Diceros bicornis minor: one gene and its partner. The protein of the gene in region 1 binds, or shares a complex with, the protein of each later gene. Links are inferred from orthologs where the notes say so. Each region holds a gene or a part of one and is shown on either strand. Other genes may lie near its edges.

Region 1 (10,994 bases):
AAAAGTTAGTAATCTAGCTGATTTTTTTATTTTTAAGCAGGGACCAGCTCTTTGTACAGATAGATGTTAAATGAGCTAATATTTATGGTAGCCATTTGTATGTAGCCTTCTCACAGGTGGCCTGAGTGAGGGGGTTGTGTTGCATTTGGTGTGAAAGGGCAGGTTCCCAGAATTGGAAAGTGGCACATGGAGTGATTTTAGAATTTTTTTTTTAACAAGGGCTTGTCTCTCTAGGAAAGTCCATTTGGACACAGCAGAATGATTGTCTAGTCTTCACAGACCATTCATATTGTCTTACTCTTGACGGAATCATTCTTAGAAAGTCAGGCTAAATCAGGGTGGTGCTGTTTTAAAGCATGTGAATTGGATCATGGCCATAGAGTATCTAATGCTACATTGAAATTGGAGACAATATTGAAGACACAAGGAGTGGCTAAATGTTGTGGATGCCTTACGGCTCTTTGGCTCAAGTCTTCTCTTGAGCAGTTTCTATGGGTAACAATTCAGACTAGAATTGATTTTGGTTTTTTACACAATTCACAATTCACCATGAATTCTAGATTCTGATATTTTTGATGAGCACTTTTTAATCTCTAAAGAGTAAGTTCTTGACTAGGAACATGTTTAGTTAGTACTTGATGTTACTAACCAGGTTATAGAAGGAGCCTGTTTTAATTTTACAAGATCTGTGAATGCTGCATTATAAATTTTTTTGAATTACTGGTATCATTCAGTGTCAGATTTTGAGTTTAATAACTATTAATTAAGACCGCCCACAATATTAACAGTTATTGTAGGTTATTTCGTTTAGATAACTTATCCCATTAGAGCAGCCATTTAGGAGACAAAGACTCAGCTATATGTAATGGTTTTGCTCATTCTGAAATGTGCCGAGAAAACAAAATTCAGTATTAAACTCCAAATTTCAATATTTTTTTAAAGTAGCGTTTCCTCTGGGTAAGGGCGAAGGCTGTGAATAGTTGTGGTGTAAACTCCCCGCTGCCTGCCTTCTCCCCTTTCCCTCCCATCTAACATTAAATTTGTAGCCAATTGTAGAAAAAGAAATTGATACTTTTCTAAGTAAGGTTTCATGCCCTGTGACTAAGAATAGGTGGCAAGAATCATGGCCGAATTAATTATTGAGTTGGTTAGCATGGTCCTGTTACAGCTTGCCTTCTGTAGTATTCTGAAACAAAAGGATGATCCCATCCCTTCTCAGGTACCTAGAAACAACACCATTTAAGCAACTGGAATGTGTTTGCTACAAATAGAATATATGAGAGAAAAAGATGAAGAGGAGCACAAAGTCTTACTTTCCCTTTCAAGTAGTTTAACTGAACATGTTAGTAACTGGTCTGTCTAGGACTTGCTGTGTTCATAGTAAATAATGTAGCATTTATTTTATCTGGTTATGTGGCGTGTATATATATATACGTATTTAATATGTACACTTATATTCTCTGTGCATTTATATGTATGATATATTCATATGTACATGCAGTCTACTCTTGATTATGAGCAAAATGGTAAGCCTCATCAGACTGTTGCTTCATGTTGACTTAATCTGCAATGTAGCCCATAACTCTATGAAGTCTCTTCCTCAGCTGGAGCCAGTCTTTCCTACCTCCAGTGCATCTTGGTCCCCAAGAAAGGCCCTTGAAATGTATCACTTTCCATTTCCCTTTCAGCAGGGATTGTGTGAACCAGAAAGACAGCTTTTGAGAAAGATGGCTGCTTCCCCCAGGGTTGAGGCTTCTGGGTCTGCATGATGATGGGGCCCATTCCTGGCCAGCTCTGGGAGCAGTTGTGCTCATGGGCTTGATGGGGGAGAAATCTAGCTCTTGCAGAAATGGACCTTCGCAACTTGCTTAAATTCCTTAGCTGAAATGTTGTGAAGTCCTAGATAACATGATGTACAAATAGAGTACAGGTATGCATTTCTTCATTATTTTTGCATCATCAGTATTGCTGTTCTCCATTGCTAGCCCAGATAATCCAGACTTGACTGTTTCTTGCCACTAAATTCTGGAAGCCTTGCCCTTACAACTGGATTTATGTTTATTTCTGCTGCTGTGAAACCCAAAAGTAATGCAGTAGGTTTTAATTTAAAATTGTTTAATTCTATTATTGATAAATATTTATTGTAATAAAAGTAGAGAGTAAATGATTTTTAAATCCTTTTAATGGTTTTCGGATTGTCGTCTTTGTTTTTCCTTGGTAGGTGCAAAAGGGGAGGGACCTATGGGGAGAAAATTAACATCCAGCCACTTGTCTCAGAGAATCATTGATTATTTTAGAGCAAAACAATTAAAGGATTTTTTTTTGTTTTGTTTAAGATAAAGATCAGCCTGCTTGCTCCTGGGTGTTCCATAGTCCTGTGATTTGTTTCAGAAAGCAGGGTACTAGGCAGGCGGCAGTAACAGCTATTCATAATATACTGCTCCGAACTCCCCCAGAACTGGTCCTGGCAATATGTAATAATACTGGGTCATAATAACTGGATCACACTTAAATAGTTTGTAAGGTGGTTGTTTCATACTCAAGAAACATTTTCCCATAGAAAGAGTTCATTTTCCAGGCTAATTCTACAAGAACCTACTAACCCACACTTAATACACCAAAACTACAGTATGTAAACCATAAGCTCTTATAAAAACTCTGATTTTCTAACATTGCTTCCGAGGAGAATATTTCTTATTTTTTACATCGGAATTGATCTCCCAGTTCTGGCAGTGGACATTTAAAAAAATTGTAACAGGTTTGAAGAAGGTGGAGGAGGAAATGTCCCATATTTAACCCAAGCTAGTTCTTGGCGGGCCATTCCTAATCCCCTGCCCACCCCTTGGCTGCCCTGGCAGTTGTTCCTCCCTTCTCTGCAGACCTCACACGCCTACCTGACACCCTGCAGGTGCGTACTAGGTGACCACACTTGGGTCTATTAAACTTAGACCCTGTGCCCCAAAGTGTCTTGCTTCTCTCCCTGCTCTCATCTTGTTTCTTCTGTTCCAAATTTTCTGAAAGAAAACTTTATAACTGCTTCTTCCATTTTTCTTCTTGCTTTTCTTCTGAAAGTTTTTCAAGACCTCCCAAAGCTTTACTATAATGACTATTTCCTAGTCATGTTCAACTTTGCAAGCTTTGACCCAGGGCAAGTGACTTATTTTCTCTAAGCCTCAGTTTCCTCATCTGTAAAATTGGATTAGGAATATTACTACAATTATGTGTTATGAAGAATGCATGTAGAGTGTTCAGCACAGGAGTAGTCTAAGCTAGGTGCTCGGTTTCTAGTAATACCTAGTTCTCAGTTTTTTACCTTTGAACTTTTTCCTCAGCCTTATGACCTGCTCATGACTTGCCTTCCTCCTTCCTCCTCCCTTCTCTGTTCCTTCCTTCATACCTTTTGTAGGCAATACAGGAAGATGATGGTGAGGCAGTTCTAAAAATAACTAGAATAAAATAAGATTGCCTTCTGAGAATCTATTAGTAAAATTCACACACATTAGGAGATAGGAATAAACCAAGAAATTATGTAAATATTTGATGAATCCTCAAACCCCAATTAAGGTGATTTGATGTAACCTTATGGATGTAGAATTAAGTGTGCGACTTGACGTAGCATGCTAAAATCCAACCAATGTATCATTATTTTTCTGGAAAAAGACTGTAAGCTGAAGTAGATGGCCAGCCTGTAGCATAGCAAAGGAAGCCCCTATAGCCAGGAGGTTTTGCATGTATCACCCAAAACTTACCGAGGCATGGGGGTGCCATGCCTCAAGGACTTGACCTGTCTAATCTTTGTGGCAAGTTATACCCATTGTAGGCCACTGAGTCTGTCACAGTCTGTTGTCCATTATCAAGAAGCTTCCCAATTATAGTTTGAGTCCCTTGTAGATCAGCCATGGAGATGTGCTGGTCACAGTCATAAAACACATATGCTCTGTGTGTCAGTTGTAGTTTCTTGCTCAAATTAGTGTATTCTCTATATATTTTTCTTTCATGAGTGTATTAGCATAAGTCAATTCTCAAAAGCAGGTCTGCTTTTGGAGAATTGCCTGCCACATGAGGACTAGTCTCTGAAGGCTAGTGAATCCTCAGCGACATCCCTCCCCGAATTCCTCTCATCCGTGACAGCCCTACTACTCTTGCTTGCTGCAGTCTCTTCAGGATCTGTCACTGCTCTTTAAAAAAATAATAAATGAATAAATAAACTTTATTTTTTATTACATCAAAAGTGATTTGTGTTCTTTGTAAACTTTTTTTTTTGAATAGAGAATGAAAACCACCCATAGACCCAACCCCTAGAGAGATCAACTACTTTGTGTTCTTTCCCTGTTTTTCTTGTGTACATACTACATATACTTCAAATAAAACTGGGATCATACTCTACACTTTGTGCTGCATCTTTCCTTCCTCATTTAATAGATCTTGGATGTCTTTCTAGGTCAGATTCATTCTTTGTGACTGCATTGTTTTTCATCCTATGAATGCTTTATCAGTTCTGTTGTTGATGGATTTTGGGTTATATCCAGTTTTTTAATAACGATAATAAATTTGATTAATTAATACAAATTATTGTAAATAAATATAAATATTAATAAAAATTTAATAAAATAAATTTTTAATAACTGGGTAATAACTGCCGTGAGCATACCGATACATTTGTGTCCATTTCTTGCATTCAGCAAATGTTTGTTGAGCACTCACTACATATCAGGTATTGGGCTAGGTGCTGAACATACAGTACTGACTAAAACTGATGTCATTTTGACCCCATGGAGCTATAGCCTAGACCTATTATCTCTCAAGGATAATTCTTATAAGTAGAATTGCCTAGTCAGTGCATATGCTTATTTAAACTGTTAACAGATATTGGCAAACTGTCCTCCTAAAAGACGCCTTTCCAGCAGTGAATGAGAGTGTCTTTTTTTCCACACCTATGAATAAGCTTTATTACTTACATAATTGAGGCTGTCTGTGACAGCAAGGAAGACGTCCCAGCTGATTGGAAGATGGCTGGAGAGAGCCAGGAAAGGAGACTGTCTTGAGGCTTTCATTGTGGTTAGGCGGTGGGGGCTGGGATGAGAGGACCCAGCTCACACAGTTGGAACCTCCTGCCAGCGCCAAAGTAGAGAGCACCCAGGCCCCCTCCCTCCTTTCTTTTAATCAGCTGCCGGGATCTGGAGCAGAGAGGAAGAAAGGCGTGAGGCTTAAAAGCTGTCAACAATCAAACAGCAAAAAAAAAAGAGTCAGATTCATTACAAAAGATGTCTGGAATGAAGGTATCTGGGGACAGCTCTAAGGCCGAGTATCTCATTGATCACTTTTCATGGGTTTTGTGGCACCCCTGCTCTCTCACCTATCTGTGGTGTAACAGCTGGTTCCCACTGACTTTCAGGGTATCCTGCTCCCAGCCATAGACATGCACACACACGTGTATTTGTTTCTCTTCTCACAGATGGTAGAAACACAGACCAGAACCTTGAAGAGTTCGAGGTCAAAACTATACCTTGCTCCTCTGATTCCATGGCCCCTAGGGAAGTTTAACGCTTGAGGTTACAGCCAGAAGAGAGAGATTTGGCAGAGGACCCTGAAGCAAACATCCCCTCCCCCACCCTGGGCTAGATATGGGACAAGGATCCAGGCAGCTGTTGGACTCGGCTGCTGCAAGATTTTGGCACTCCTAAATCTCTCTACCACTTGAAGACTTGGAAAAATTAATTAAAAAAAAAAGTACTCCATTTGACTCTGGGTAGGTCTTATTCACAAAGAGCTTATCTTCTTTGGCCTCACAATTGCATGTGAGTTGAGTAGGCAGATGGTACCATATAACAGTTGAGAAAATGGTCCTCAAGAAGTTGCGACTTACCTGAGGTTGCAGGGCAGGTCTAGGACTACTACCTGCATTTTCTCACTGCTCCAGCGCCCTTTCCCGAGTTTCCCACAGGACAGTGTGACAAGACTCCGTCAAACGTTATCCAGTTTGTTTTTGAAAGGGTTTTAATTTTCAATAAGAACACTTTTTTGTTGGCAATGAGACACAAAAAACGCCCAGGATATAGTGCTTTTTCAAGGGATGGTGCTTCTTTGAGAGTTTAATTGTGCTTCTGCGCTCTTAACTTTCATTTGTACCCCACCGCCCATCCCCGCCCTCACTATTTTCCTCTGTGTATAAGCGTGTGATTGGAAGTGGTGATGGTGGGATTCTCCTAGGTTTCAGCCCTACTGAAAATGGCTACAGAAGACAACAATCCCTTGCTGGATATAAATTTAATGATAGTGGTTGCACATTCTAGAAAAGATAGGGGCTCAATGCACAAAGTAGCTCAAAAATGAATGGATGACGAATAGATGTATACAATATACTTTAGTTCAAAGTATCTGAAGAGGCAATAGGCTCAGAGTAGACCTATTATTCTGCACCCTCCATGAGGAAAGGACAACGCTTGTATCCTCAGCTCTAGCACAGTTTGGCACAGAGTAGGTGCTCAATTATATTTGATGAATATGATTTTGAGGAATATTCATTTGATGAATGAATGGTGAATTAATAATCGGGGTGAGTAAGTGATGAACTACACTTGGTCCAGCTCTTCAGTCTTCCAGGCTCCGCTAATACGACTGGGCCTTGGTGGGGGCTCAAGACGGTACTTACATCCCAACTGCAGAAGAGAACGAAACCCGAATCTGCGCTACAGCGTTCGGAATGCCGGTGGGCGGGGCCTGAGCTGCGCGCGCAATCACTGCAGCTGCGGGTCACGTGACTGCTCTTCCCTGGCAACGGCTTGTTGCTACCAACGGGGCTGCGGTCTGGCGGTGGTGGGGCGGGGCTGCCTGGGGGGCGGGAGGCATCCGCTATGAATCCGCCGGGATCGCTGGGGGTGCTGGAGGAGAAGGAGGAGGAACACTTATCGACCCCGATTCTCGGGCCCTCGATACACTCTGATAACCCTCAGGAGCGGATCCAGGCCCGGCGCCTCCGCATCGCGGCGCGCCTGGAAGCTCGGAGGCGGTGAGCGGGGTCTGGGCGGTCCGACCGCGGAGCGCCTGGAGTGCCGGTGACGCAGTGCGGGGCATGAGGGCATGGCTTCCCGGGGCGGGCGCCCCTGTGGGAGGGCTCGGCGTGCCCCAAATGTGAGCGGGCTTTGTTGATTGATGAAATGGAAAACATTTCTTCCAGAGGGTTCAAGTAAAGTATGGGATATTAGAATGTTCAACACACTAGTAAAGTCAAAGACGGAAATAATAATCCCGTCTGCACTTTTATTGAGAGCCCGCCGTGCCAGACACTGTGGGCAATCCACCGAAGATGCAGGAGATCCACCACTAGCCCTCAGGGGTCTGTCTTTCCTCCTTCCTTCCCAGCCTGCCTCCCTTCCACAAGTATGTATCCAGTGGACCTCAGCTACCACTTCTGCTGGTCTCAGTGGCTTATCTGCTTGTGGACACAAACCCTCATTCCCAAAGGGTCTGAGACTGATAACCATACCCTTCTCAGGCAAGAGTTGCTGCCCTTGTCCATTCGCAGACACAGTGGGCTGTCATAATGGGGTACCAAGAGACACTGCGTGATCCCCTGAATTCCTTAACACTCTCACTGTGTAACAGCACTTATACCTTGTCCTGCTGGTCAGGGTCAGCTGCGCTGCCAAGATGGGACTTCTCTTCTTGTCTGCTGGCCATCGGACACAAGGGGCCCAAAGTGGCATGGCAGTATTCCAACAAAACTTTCCTCATGGACACTGAAATTTGAATTTCATGTAATGTTCACGTGTCACAAAATATTCTTCATATTTCGATTTTGTTTCTACATTAATAAACTTCATTTTTTTAGAGCAATTTTAGGTTCGACAGAAAAATTAAAGGTAAAGTACAGAGATTTCCCATGTACCTCCTGCCCCCACACATGCTTAATGTCCCTCACTATCAACATCCCCTACCAGAGTGGTACATTTGTTACAATTGATGAATCTGCATTAACACATCATTATCACCCAAAGTCCATAGTTTATATCATGGTTCACTGTCGGTGTTCTCTGAATTTTGGCAAATATATAATGACATGTATCCACCATTGTAGTATCATACAGAATAGTTTCACTGCCCTAAAATCCTCTGTGCTCTGCTTATTCATCTTGATCTTTTTAAAAAACCGTTTAAAAATGTAAAAATCCTCACCTGTAAGCCATACAAAACAGGTGGGTCAGATTTGGTCCACATGCTGTTGTTTGCCAACCCTGATGTAATGGATCACTGTGACATTCTGTGGAATGTCCAGATGGTCCTGATCTGTTCAGACTATATTTTGACAGAGATCGGGAGAATTAACATGGCCTTGTGAGTGTGAGGGCTATGTGAGTATATATTATTATCTGTTCCATGTAAATGGGAACTTCCTGATCCTTTTTCCTGATTGAGGTAGAAAATAATGCATTTGGTCAATGAGTGGCCACGTTCCATGCACCTAAGGCCACACCGATCTGCTCTAGTAAAGGCTGCATGGCACTTGCAAGGCAGCTGCCATCAGGACTGCTACTTGGTTGAGCTTGCAGTAATTGACGATAATTTTCTCAGATCTATGCAGTTTTTGCAGGGGCCAGACCTGTGAATTAAATGCAGACTTGATAGGCACCACCACTCCTGCATCCTTGAGATCTTTAAGGGTGACACTAATCCCCACCATCCCCCTGGTCTGCGATATTGTTATTTTATGCACTCAAATGCAGTTTCGGAGGGGCCCATTTTGCCTTCCACACCATGATAGCTCTTACCTACAGACCAAGGACCTAATGTGGGAGTTTCTTAAATTTCTATGTATGTTGAGATCACTCTGGTGGCTCTTTGGGGAATGGTTTGGAGGAGCCAGAAGTGAAAGTAAGGAGACTAGTTAGGAAGCAGTTGCATTGGTCCAGGTGAGAGATGAAGTTGGTCTGGGCTAGTTAGTGGCAGTGGGTTTGGAGAGAAAACAGATGTACTCAAGACATATTTTGGAGTTGAAATTGACTGGATTTACTGATTGATTGGATATGCTGGTAAAAGACAGGGAAAAAGCAAGAATGGCTTGAGCATTTAGGTAGATGGTAGTGCCTTTCGTTGAGAGGGTAAAGACAGTGATGGGGGTAGTGAGGCTGGAATTGGAAATCAAGAGTTTGGTTTTGAACATATTAAGCAAAGTTGGATTTTGTAAGACATTAAAATTGAGATGTCCGATAGGCAGCTGGATATGGGTCTTAAATGCAGAAGAGAATTCTGCATTAGAGATATTAGTGCAAAGAGTCAGCAGCCTTATGATTGTATTTAAAACCATGGGACTGAATTAAATTACACTGAGAAAGAGGATAAAAAGAGATGAGAAGAGAGTTCGTGACCAAGCCCCGAAAAAGCCCAGCATTTAGAAGTTGATAGCAGAGGAAACATTGACAAAGGGTCATCTCTGTCATATGAAGATGGGGTTAGAATGGCCAATTGATGCTGGTGAAAAAACAAATCTGTGAGATGCAGTGGTGTACCTAATGAAGTTAACACCTGGAGCAGGTAATTTTTAAAGTACAGATAATAATAATAGCCTGAAAAGAAAAGTTTATTGAACTTTGTTTATATAACCATGCCAATAAAATTTTTTAAAATAAAATTTACAGTACAAAACAAGAAAAAGCTAATGGATCAATACTTTTAAATTACATTAATGTATTTTTGGGAAAAAAAGGAAGAAATCATATGAAGAAATGTTTCCAAAAGAATGAATTCTGCAAGGTTTAGAGAACGAGTTGCATATAGAATGATAGAATTGAAATAACTCAAGTTCGGTTTCTCTGTGTTTTCAATAACTGGGCTCTTGTTGTTTATGTCATGTCTCTTTTCTGCAAGGATATGTAGTATCTCAGGGGTACGCTGTGCCTGAGAGAGCTGGGACAGTTGTGAACCATTTCAGATGTGCTCTCAGAACACATGCCTGCAGCTGGGGTCATGTGTGTCAGAGGCCAACTGGATAACTGCAAGTTCTCTGAAGTAACTTCTTTGTTAATTAGAGGATAAGGAATAAAAAGTTGCTACATTGAAGCTTATATATATATTATTAAAATCAACAGTAACTGAGCAATTGTTTAGAACTTAGATTAACAAAAGATTTTCCAAGAAAAAGTGTTTTTTTTTTTGTTTGTTTGCTGAGAAAGATTTGCCCTGAGCTAACATCCGTTGCCAATCTTCCTCTTTTTGCTTAAGAAAGATTAGCCCAGAGCTAACACCTGTGCCAGTCTTCCTCTATTTTGTATGTGGGTCGCTGCCACAGCATGGCTGACGCACCCGGGAACTGAACCCGGGCCACCGAAGTGGAGTGTGCCAAACTTAACCACTAGGCCACAGGGCTGGCCCCCGGAAAGAAGTTTTATCACTGACATTGTTTTGTTGCTGGCACATGGTGATAATAAAAAGCAGACTGACTTTTAGTCAGTTGTATTGTTTTAACATTATCTATAGTCTCCTTGATTGCCTCTGGTGCCCACTGCCCTACTGCCTGAGCCTTGGTATGTCAATGGGGTGTAGTTTTAGGGAGAAAGCTGTTAACAGAATCAAATGTCATATAAAGATAAAGAGTAGGGTTAATAGGTAACACCCTCAAAACTCCCAATCTCTCGTCTCAATTGAAGTTTCAAATTTCTGGAAGATGTCACTTCTGAGAAAAGAAGGCAAATGGAATGCATACATGTACTTTGGCTCTCTATCAAAACTCCATTAAAATGACATTTAAAGGGATTAAGTAAAAAAGAGACATAAACTCACAAAGACAAGAAAAACAGGAGGACTCAACAGCAACAAAATTTTGGAAGCTGGGAAGCATAGGGACAGATGGTAAATGGCTTAGCAGATTCAAGAATATGGAAATATAAACCGGTCGTGAGGAAAGCTGAGAGCCCCCTGAATTACTTTGAGGTAAATCTCTAAAAGACTAGGAAGTTGGTAACGTCAGGTTCATCTGGATGTAGGGGTGAAGACAGGGA
Region 2 (10,436 bases), on another chromosome or scaffold:
CCACTGTGGGGGCTGGGGCTCTGGGGCCTCACTGCTCTGGGTGCTGGGCTCTGGGGAGGCCTCTGGGCTTCAGCAGGCTGGGGCCAGAGCCATGCCTACCTCGCCCACCGCTGTATCCCCAGGGTCTGGCACAAGCCAGCTGAGGCAGGGTCTCAAGAATTCCTTGTTGTTGAGTAGATGACCTGGCAGGCCAGTGTCGGAGCCCAGGACAGAGCAGGAATGTGAATCTGACCAGGTCACTCTGCTGTGGCCCGCCTGCACAATACATGAGGGTTGCAGGACCCCTGCCCACCTCTCTCGCTTCCTCTCACACCCCCCATTGGCCTTCTTGAGTGAGCCAGACTCTGTGCACGTGTTGTCTCACCCTGTCCCCCCAACCAGCGCTTGAGACAGGGACTACAATCATCCCATTTCACAGACAGGCACGCTGGGGCACTGAGGATCTGCCTGGGCCCCAGCCACGTCTTCCCACTCAGCTGTACTGCCACTTCTGAGGCACCTCCCTGCTGCATGGCCCTGGGCCCCTCCTGGCTCCCGCCCCTCTTCGGAAGCTGCTCTCCCAGTAGACATCCTCCTCCTCCCCACTGCTCCTGCCTGGCTGCTTGGGACCCCTCCCGGGTTCTGCCTGCCGAGGGGCGCGCTCTAAGGACATCCGTGTGGAGTCTGAGGTGGAAACAGAGTGACCTTTGTGGTTCACTTAGACTTGGAGTGGGAAAATTTTATCTTTTTATATGGACATTGTGTGGAATTCTGGGGCTCTGTAGAAGGTAGAGCAGAGAAAGCCGGGGCCCTGCTTGGTGCACCCACCCCACCCTGGGATACGCACTCTGGAAGTCCAGCTGCAGGGACAGGACATCCTTGAAGAGGATACCTTCCTGCTTGGCCAGCTGCCCAGCCTCGTCCTGTGGGCCCTGCTCCCCCACAGCCAGCTTAAGCATGTCGTCATCCATCACTCTCGGCTCCATCGAGTCGCACAGCCGGTTCATCTTCCCTGAAAAACACCACGTTCCTCTCCCACACTCCGCTTCTCCCTTTGTTGGAGGACCAGTTCTGGCTGAGGTCCTTGTAAGGTTGTGGAGCATCGTGGTGGCCAAAGACACTCTGAAATCCACCCTCCTCCCACTGGACCTAGGGGTTCATACATCTGCACGAAGGCTGCTCCAGGGCTTCCCCGGCAAACATCTGTACCCATCCTGCCTGGTGCCCATCCTCAGGGGTGCACCCCTTGGCCCCACAACCACAGCTGTGCCTCTACCCCAGAGAAGTGGACCGGTGTCCACACCGGTTTCTTGAGCCTCTGGAGCTCTGCTCCCTTACAGCCGGGGCCATCTCAGGCCTTTGGCTTTCTGTGCCCATCCTTGTTTGGGTTTCTTGGCACCAACCACTGATCATGACCCTTGGCAGCCCCAGCCAGGCATACCAGCCTGCAATGCCCCTTCTTTGAGAGCCTCATCCCTTCCAGGCAGTCATATGTGTACTCCCCACACACACATACCAGAAGCTGCCCAGTGCATAGGTGGATACTGACCCAAGCCGGCCATTCATGTCCTCCCACTGAGAAATTTGAGCTTGGGGCCAGAGGATGAGTGCCCATCAGAGCTGGCTGCTTGAGCTGGGGAGGAACTGGGGGACCGTGGACTGGCCAGGCACGTGGTTAAGCAGAGAGAGCAAGAGAGGGATGAGGCAGACAGAGAGAAGCAGAGATGGGATCCAGTAAAAAAAAAGACAAAAAGACAGACAGACTGACATAGAGACTGCCTTCTCCTTGCTAGCTTTCTGGCCCCTAATGTCCCTAATTCCAGGACCTGTGAGGGCTTCTTCCTCTCCTGTGAGAGTGTCCTGACTTCTCGCATTAAATCTTCTTTTACTTAAACTAACTCCAGTAGGTTTCTGTCGCTAACGGTCCAAGGGGATTTGGCTGAAATACCACAGGCAAAGGGGAAATCTGTGGACTTGTTCACTCACACTGTGAGGCTGACACTGGGCTGCTATTCCTGGCTGGACAAAGCCACAGCCCTGGGAAGCTGGGGTGCCTGACATCATTCTCATCACTAACCCTCTTAATGAGAACATCCAGAAGCGCTGGATGCTGCAGGAAGGCACCCTCTCCTATCAGTCTACTGGAAACTTCCAGATTCTGCCTCCTACACCCTGTGGAAACTAGGTCCTCCCTTCTGCTTTCCACCTCTGCTTCTCACTTCCCTGCCGGCTTCACCTTCTACCTTTGTCCAGGTGCATCCCCAATATCCTGGCCTCCCTGAACCTCCTGCCTTCTGGTCCCTGATGCTGGGCAGCCCCTGTGTTCTGCTCTTTATTCTACTGAGCGCTGTTGGAGAGACTCCTGGCGGTGGACTGATGGTGTCCACCGCAAACCCAGGTGGGCCTGGCAATCCTGCCACCTGGTCTTAGAGACTGCCACTGCCTGGCTGCCCTCCCTCCCTCCTCCCCCACCATCCACTTGGATGCAGCTTATGCACATATGCATCTTTCATTTCTGGACTGTCCACAATCAAATGTCCTAGTGCCTTTAACTCTTATGTGTCCTTTCTTTCTGTCCCCAGAGGAGGCACAGCCTCTCCTACCCACTACCTACACCCTCCTCCCTCCCCCCACACCCCTTTTCCACTTGTGCCTTCCATCTTCCCATTCTCTCCAATCTGTCAACACTGGCTCTATCTCCTTAGGGTGATTGATTCACCTCCTGAAGATGTTTCCAGTCCTCTGCCTCTCTCCATCTCCCTACTCTTCTGAAACAAATTTTTCCAAGATTTCCCATAGCTTGCCTTTGGGGAAATTTTACTGTGCTGCATTTGGCAGATGTTACCTGCAAAGTGTTTGTGTTTTTTTAAAGAAAGGTGCTGCACTTTGGGAAATGATTCTAAATTCTGATTTCAAAACTTTGACTTCTCATCCCTCCCACGTCGTCAAGGCCTGGCACCTGTGACAGATCAAGCTTGCCTTCAGTCAAGCCCGACAATGGCTATGCAACATGGAACAGCTGTTATGCACACAAGGGCAGGATTTGGATCCTGACTGTGCATCCTTTGGCAACTCACTTCACCTGTCTAAGCCCTCGATTTCCCATCTGTAAAAGATGAATAATTCCTCCTTCCTACATTTGTTTAAGATCATTTATTTAGTCCACACACGTAATGAATAGCTACTACATACTATGAATAAAACAGACAGATCTCCTTACCTCTGTTTCAGACATGAATCAGATAATCAAAGAAATGTTTAATTACAAACAGTGACAAGTTTGTAGGTGTAGGGAACTCTGACAGCATACATTAGGGGCACCTGGCCTGGCCGGAGGAGATGGGGCTGAGATCTGAAGGAGGAGTGGAAAGAAGAAAGGGAATCGCATAGTGAGGGCCCTGAGGTGGGAGAGAACAAGACATGTTCCACTTTGGCTGAAGCAACGCAAGGTTGAAAAGGTCGACAGGAGTTCAATTATTATCCTGGGACCCCTGGGAAGCTCCTGGGCCTTAATAAGAGCAGTGGCATGATCAGATTTTAATTTTAAGAAGCTCTCTCTGGCTGTAGTACTGAGAATGGCAAGAGTCGTGACGTGAGAGATGCCCAGGGTGGTTGGTGGTAAGATGTGGATTTGAGAGATCTCTAGGAACTTAATTTACATGCGGGACTGATCATCTGCAGTTTTCAGATAAGAAAATGGAAGCTAGTTAGAAAGGTTAAGTAACATGCACAAGTTTACACATGTATACGGCAGAGGCAGGAGAACATGACTCCAGAGCCCAATTTCTTAACCATGACTCAACTGTACCCAGGGTACTGTGGACTGTCACTGTCACAGCTCTAACATTGTCACAATGTTTCTCACAGCTGTTCTGGGTCAGGGCCAAGGCCCGAATTCTCTTCCCTTAAGAGGATTTTATCAGTAATTTACCACCCAATCTGGGTTCCTGTTGACTTGCCTGAGGACAGTGTTGTCACTGTAGATCAGAGGTTGGAGACGGGGAAGGCAGTGGAGAGTTTTACATCACTGTCAGTGGAGTAGCCTCCTCAGGAGAAACAGATCCAGAATTGTCCTGGGAAACAACCTGGGATTAATTGGATCTGAAAAATATAGCCCCTATTGGCGATGAATTAATAAGAAGAAAATCAACCATTTACTGAGTGCTTACTGGGTACTAAGTGCACATGTGTCATTTAATTACCTGTCAGCTCCGGACGCCATCAGAGAAGGGAGTCCTAATGCCCTAACTTCCCAGATGGGGAAACTGAGACCTGGAAGGGAAAGGAAATTGTCCACAGTCATACAAGGAACTACTGACAAGAGACAGACATGGAACTTGAGTATCCATATTCCCACCCAAAGCACTTTATACAGCACCAAGATGAAGAATAAAAATAAGAGAAATAATTTAACGACAGTTAAGAGGTCGGATATGAGGATTAAATTCTTGAAGAAGTTATCAGTGGATCTTTCTTTCGGGTACCTTTGTTTCTACGAAAGGGATCAGGCCAGGAGGCTGGGAGATGGAACCCCTTAAACATCTCTTCGAGCCCTGCTCCCCAAGGAAATGCTTCCTTAGCCTTTTTTTCTCATCCGCAGGCCTGAAAGCCCGGGTACTAGCGTTCTGACTGTCTCAGCGCCGCTGCAAAGTGGCTGGCAGGGGATCTGTGTGCTCATTTTGCAGATGATAAGGGCCGGCCGCACTTCTCGGAGTAAAAGGTCAGAGAATTACGTCGGGGCGCTGTCTGCCCCTGCGAGTCCTCCCGGAACCTCAGCTTCGGATCTCACCTTCTCAAGCGCGGGCTACCGGGCTGGTTCCACGCAGCAGCCACTTTGCCCGGTTGCTAGGGAAACCAAGCGCCACCACTCCGTTGCTAACGGGAAGTCAGAAGATTGACATCCTGAGTGAAAGTTGAGGGGGCACGTGACCACGTTTCTGGGCGGGGGAATACTCCTGCCACCAACCAGCCGGAGAGAAAACAAATGTTTCTCCAATCAGCACTTTCTACGGGCGGGGATATACTTAGCCCCGCCTCTTCCCCGCCCCCTATTTGAGTGATTGACTCGTCTGTTCTCCAATAATCATAAGGATTCCCTAGCTTGACCAATATATAAAGGAATCAAAGCGCACAAACTCTCGTTCGGAGGCGGGCCAGGGGCGGTGTCACTACGCCTGAGGGAGGTTCCTGTGACTGAGCTCACTCCTCCGCCCAATCGGACAGCGCGGGGTAGGTGGGGCTTCGCTCGGGAAGCCGTAGGGCCCAATCGGAGGAGGGCAGGGCAGGCGTTGCCCAATAGGGACGCGACAAGGGGGCGGGGTCAGGGGCCGCGCGTTCGGCGCTCTAGAGGGTGGGGCGGGGGCAAGTGTCAGTCAGGTCGGGAGCGCGGCGGGGTACAGCGGAGACCAGCCGGCTAACAGGGCTCTGGACGGCTGCCGTGCTGACCGCTCAAGATGGAGTTCCTCCTGGGCAACCCGTTCAGCACCCCGGTGGGGCAGTGCCTCGGTAAGGCCGCGCGAAGGGAGGGCGTCTGGTTGGGCGACGGCGGCGGCTGACAGGGCCGGAGAGGACCACGGGCCTCTGCGGGCACCGGGGCCACCTCCTGGTCGCCGGGCCCCTGCCCGCGGGCGGGCCGGGCCTGCTCACGGCGTCGGTGCCACCCTGCCAGGCGGCGCCCCGAGGCCAGCTGGGACTTGGAGATGCTCCGCGCGGCCCTCCCCCTCGGGGCCCGGCTCCCCCCGGCTCCTGGAGGTGGTGCCCGCGCTGTCGGCCTACCCCGCGCCTCCTGGGAGATGCCACTGCGTGCGCCCTTGTCCAGCCCGACAGTCTCGCTGCCACTGCCGCCGGGACCCGGTTCTCCCAGACGCCTCTCCCTGCATCCCTGCTCCTCCTTTTCAGACCAGCAGCCCGCGGACTGGGCACCCTCCCAGAGAACGCTCCCTGCCCTGAGACTTGCTAATTAGAGCTGCAACTCGGCTAGGCTAGGCCGTAGGAGGGACTGGGAAGGGGGAGGGGTTCCTAGAGGGTGACGATCTTGGCAGGGGGGCTGGCATGCCTGCACTGCCTCCGGGAAGAAGGGGGGCCGTGCTATTCAATGATAAGAGCCCTGGACTGGGAATCAGGAAGCCTGGGCTCCAGTGGAGCCTTTGCCAGTTATCCTCCCTATGACCTTGCCCTTTCTGGCTTCACGTTTTTCCTGTCTGTCAAATGAGGTGTTTGGAGGTGAGATGTGGTAGGTCCCTTCAAATGCTCAAGTTTTGATAGTCCTTGTAGCAACCTCTGCACATTGACTGTTGCTTTCTTGCTACATTAAATTTGCCAAAGATGAAATCTTTTGGTGGCAGTGTAGAGAGAGGGGTACTTGGCAGTACCTGTTAATCCTATAGGGGGCTCTGGGTCCCCGGAAGAGGGCACCAGAGATGACCAGTATCCTGGGTAAGGAAAGCCCAAGGCTAGTGAAGGGACACCTGTGTGGCCACCATATGAGATTTCCTTACTGAAAAAGCAACTTGCCTTTTCACCCAAGGCAGGAGCTTATGCCAAGTGCTCAGTCAAGAACGTTGATTAGTTTCTTTTAAAACTGAGTTCCTCCTGGTTTGTGGAGGGGCTGGTAAAAGGTCTTTTATCAGCAGGGAGCTTTGGTGTCCTTATGGGCCTGGCTGGTTTGGGCAGAAGTGACTTGTTTATTTTCTGCTTTACTTATGAATTTCCAGCTTATGTTTCAGCCTTGAGTGGGGCCTGTGAAATTACTGAGGTCTCTTCTGTTGGCTAGCTGGCATTTGGGAGCCTTTCTTTTCTCTGTGGTGAAACGTCTTTGGTAAGGGATGGTGGACACTGGGCTTGGGAAGAGTCTTTTCCCATCTCTGTGGACTACCTCCCGTGTTCCTCTAGGTTTTCACGCCCCTTTCTTCCTCATTTCCTTTCCTCAGGTGTTCGTTCACTGCAGCCATACTCCAAAAACTAATTTCTCAGTTGGGTGTTGAATTCCAACCAGTTTTTGGAGGGAGCCAGTAAGCTTGGGGGATTTTTTTTTTCTTTTCTGTCTCTTTTACAGTAGGAAGCTCTACACCTTTGAAATGCCAAGGTATTTGATGAGGGGTAGAAGTTAAAGGGGATTTAAAAATATACAAATATAAGGGATGTAGGGGAATGTAGTGAATGGAAAGAGCATGATGCTTCTGTCAGGAAGACCTGAGTTGAATCTTACCTTGTCCATTTGTTGGCTGTGTGACCCCAGAAGATTGTGTAACCCTTCTGAGCCTTAGTTTGCTGAGAGAGAGAGGTTGATAGGTACTCACAGAGTAGTGCGGCTTAAGTGAGATGATGCGTGTCAACTCTTACCACAGTGCCTGGAACACAGCTGAGGCTCAGTGAACTGGGGCTGTCACTGCTCACACAGAATCATGAAGTTAGGGCTGGATTTTCTCCCTGGAGAGGATATGAGGGACAGCTGGCCTGTCTGTGACCTGTGAAGGAAAATACCCTTCCAGGCCCCAGCATCCACCATCCCTTATAACAGACACTGGACCACAAAGGGAATGAAGCCTCCTCATTGCCACTTAGTCAGCAGGCAAGGCCTAGGTCATTTCACAGTCAGTTCAGTTCTGATCAATGATTAGAGGACAGAATGAGGTACTAATGTCTATTCTGTACTGTTGTGACAAAGTGTAAAAGTGGCTTTCTTGACATGTAGTATTGTTAGTATTCTTTTAAAAGTATGTGCTGGGGGTTGATGGGAGGGAGGGGCATACAGAAATAAAACAACCGCAGAGCTAATGATGAAATGCAGCAGTGATAGCTTACACACAGCAGTTCTACAGCCATTGTTTGCTCCTTACAGCTGCTCTGTGAAGTGGGTTTTATTGTCCTTCTCACTTTAGAGATGAGGAATCTGAGGCTCAAGGAGTGAAGGGATGGCTCAGCTGGTAAGAGGGAGAGCTGGGATTTCACAACTGTCCCGGTCCTCAAGGGCTTTCTGGTGTCAGGGGAGAGAAGAGAGGTGTATGGAACAATGACGACTAACAGAAGGCCACTCCGTAGCTCAGTGCTCAGTCGAGTGGTGGGGACTGTCAGTGCTGTTTGGAGTCCAAAGGAATTCAGAAGAGCCGGGGGGGTGGGATTGGCTTCCTTGAGTCCAAGGGCTGTTCATGAGGATGGGTGTGACTTCTCCAGTGAGAGAAGGAGACATCTATGCCTGGGGACAGGTAAAGGAGGCAGGAAGGGTGTGGGCACGTCTGTGAGCGCCAGTCTGAGGGGAACAGAGGTGGCTGTGGGCAACAGTGGCAGGTACGCTTTTGGCCCAGGGTGAAGCCCTGTTCTGGCTGGGTGACATCAAAGACGAGATTCTTTAGCTGACTTCAGCTTTTACTCTCCCTGAACCTTATTTTCCTCAAAAAAGAATACCTCTCAACAGCTGCACAGGGCTTGGACCTAAATAATTCCATCAGTCCAATTCAGGAGGCGTTTTGAGTGCCTGTGGAGTGCCAGGCTCTGGCATACAGATATTAAAGAGTTGCTGTCAGGGAGCCTTCAGCAGAGGTATCACGTCACCAAAGGTATCCTGGAGCTGCAAAGCAGTAGGCTCCTAGTCTGAGTGTCAGTAGAGTAATTGTTACTTTGTCTCCTGCCTGGGCCTCACAGGCACATTCTGACTTGGTGCTGTTTGCTCAAAGACACAGTCTGCCCTCTTGAGCTAGCAGCTAAGCCCACAGTCTGACTTGGTCATCTGTGCAATTCTCACGTCAGCCCTGCCCCGGAAGGTGGCTCCTGAGTAGGATGCGTCGTTCCGGACAGAGCTGCAGTGGTGTACGAGCCTAAGGAGTGTGGAGAAAGAAAAAGCACTTACTTTTATTTCCTGATTTTTCTCTCCTGAAACAAGTTTCAGAACGTTACTGTCTTGTCTCAGCCCTGCACGACCGCTGGGATTTGGATGACCGCTGGCGTTGGATTCACACGTCAGGAGTTCCCTGAGTCAGGGCCATGGTGCTCTGCAGGTGTCTGCGGTTTTCCTTGTGGTGGCTGGAAAACACTTTCAGATAATCCTTTTCCAAGAGTCAAGTTTGGGTTCATTTAGGTTAAAGGATCAGAGAGTAGCTAGTTAACTCTGAACAGAATATTGGGGGTGGGCAGGGAAGATCATTTATTCTCTTCGTGGTTCTGCTTTAATAAACGTGTAAGCAGCAGATATTCTGTTGTGGGTTTGTGTTTGCAGATTGGATGGTGTTGGACGTAAACTGCTTCCTAGTGCCCTGTGAATGCTAGCGTTTGACTCTAGTGTGGCTGTTTGTACCAAGGCTGATTAGTCGTCCCTCAGATTGCTATGGCAGTTGGCAATTCACAAAGCCCTTTTGCTTCAATCTTTTTATTTAGTCTTTACAACCCTGTGAGATACACAGGAAGAGAACCGAAAGGAACTTATAATTATTAAGCCCCACTCTGTACATGGGATCGCTTTTTTTTTTTACTGAGGAAGATTCGCCCTGAGGTAACATCTGTTGCCAATCTTCCTCTATTTTGTGTGTGGGTCACTGGCACAGCATGGCCACCGACGAGTGGTGTAGGTCCCCGCCTGGGAACTGAACCCGGGCTGCCAAAGTGGACCATGCTGAGCTTAACCACCAGGCCCTTAATCCCCTCAACATTTAATTATTTGAGGGCCAGCCCGGTGGCGTAGCGGTTAAGTTTGTGTGCTCTGCTTCGGCAGCCCAGGGTTCGCAGGTTCGGATCCTGGGCGCTGACCTATGCACTGCTTATCAAGCCATGCTGTGGTGGTGTCCCATACACAAAACAGAGGAATATGGGCACAGATGTTAGCTCAGGGCTAATCTTCCTCACCAAAAAACACAAAATCTTAAAAAAAAAAATTGGGGCTGGCCCCGTGGTGTAGCGGTTAAGTGCGCACTCTGCTGCTGGCAGCCTGGGTTCGGATCCCAGGCGTGCACCAATGCACCACTTGTCAGGCCATGCTGTGGCAGCGTCCCATATAAAGTGAAGGAAGATGGGTACGGAGGAAGATTAGCCCAGGGCCAGTCTTCCTCAGCAAAAAAAGAGGAGGATTGGCATGGATGTTAGCTCAGGGCTGATCTTCCTCACAAAAAAAAAAAAAATTATTTGAGTGCTGTTGTCCCTGTATTGCTTATAAGGAAGTTGAGAGGTTGAGAGACTTGTGCAAGGTCAATACCAGAGTTAAGCCTAGAATCCGCTCCTGATCCAGTGCTCACTCTGTGCTGTCATGTTGCCTCTGGCTCTATGGATCCCATGATTCAGGGCATTGGGAGCACCTTGAGGGCTTGTTAAAACAGATTGTTGGGCCCCACTCTCAGGGTTTCTGATTCCCTAGGTCTGGCAAGGGGTCTCACATTCTACGTTTCTAACATGTTCCCAAGTAATGCTGATGCTGCTCCAGGCACCACACTTTGAAAACTGTTGCTCTAGATGAGAAGTTCTGCCTCTTTGAT

What was found.
Region 2: DRC1 (region 1) and DRC3 share a complex: the UniProt entries of both Homo sapiens proteins name them as parts of the nexin-dynein regulatory complex. The link is inferred for Diceros bicornis minor from reciprocal best matches to the Homo sapiens genes DRC1 and DRC3.

The regions. Positions count from the first base shown.
Region 1 is NC_080751.1:56,336,371-56,347,364, reverse strand, and holds the start of DRC1 (dynein regulatory complex protein 1), read left to right. Parts: upstream 1-6,854; coding exon 6,855-7,009; intron 7,010-10,994. UniProt on the Homo sapiens protein: Component of the nexin-dynein regulatory complex (N-DRC) a key regulator of ciliary/flagellar motility which maintains the alignment and integrity of the distal axoneme and regulates microtubule sliding in motile axonemes.
Region 2 is NC_080757.1:1,375,797-1,386,232, reverse strand, and holds the start of DRC3 (dynein regulatory complex subunit 3), read right to left. Parts: upstream 4,720-10,436; 5' UTR 4,464-4,719; intron 4,252-4,463; 5' UTR 4,182-4,251; intron 4,053-4,181; 5' UTR 3,939-4,052; intron 992-3,938; 5' UTR 987-991; coding exon 827-986; intron 1-826. Other genes in the region: TOM1L2 (TOM1-like protein 2), read left to right, coding at 5,433-5,484. UniProt on the Homo sapiens protein: Component of the nexin-dynein regulatory complex (N-DRC) a key regulator of ciliary/flagellar motility which maintains the alignment and integrity of the distal axoneme and regulates microtubule sliding in motile axonemes.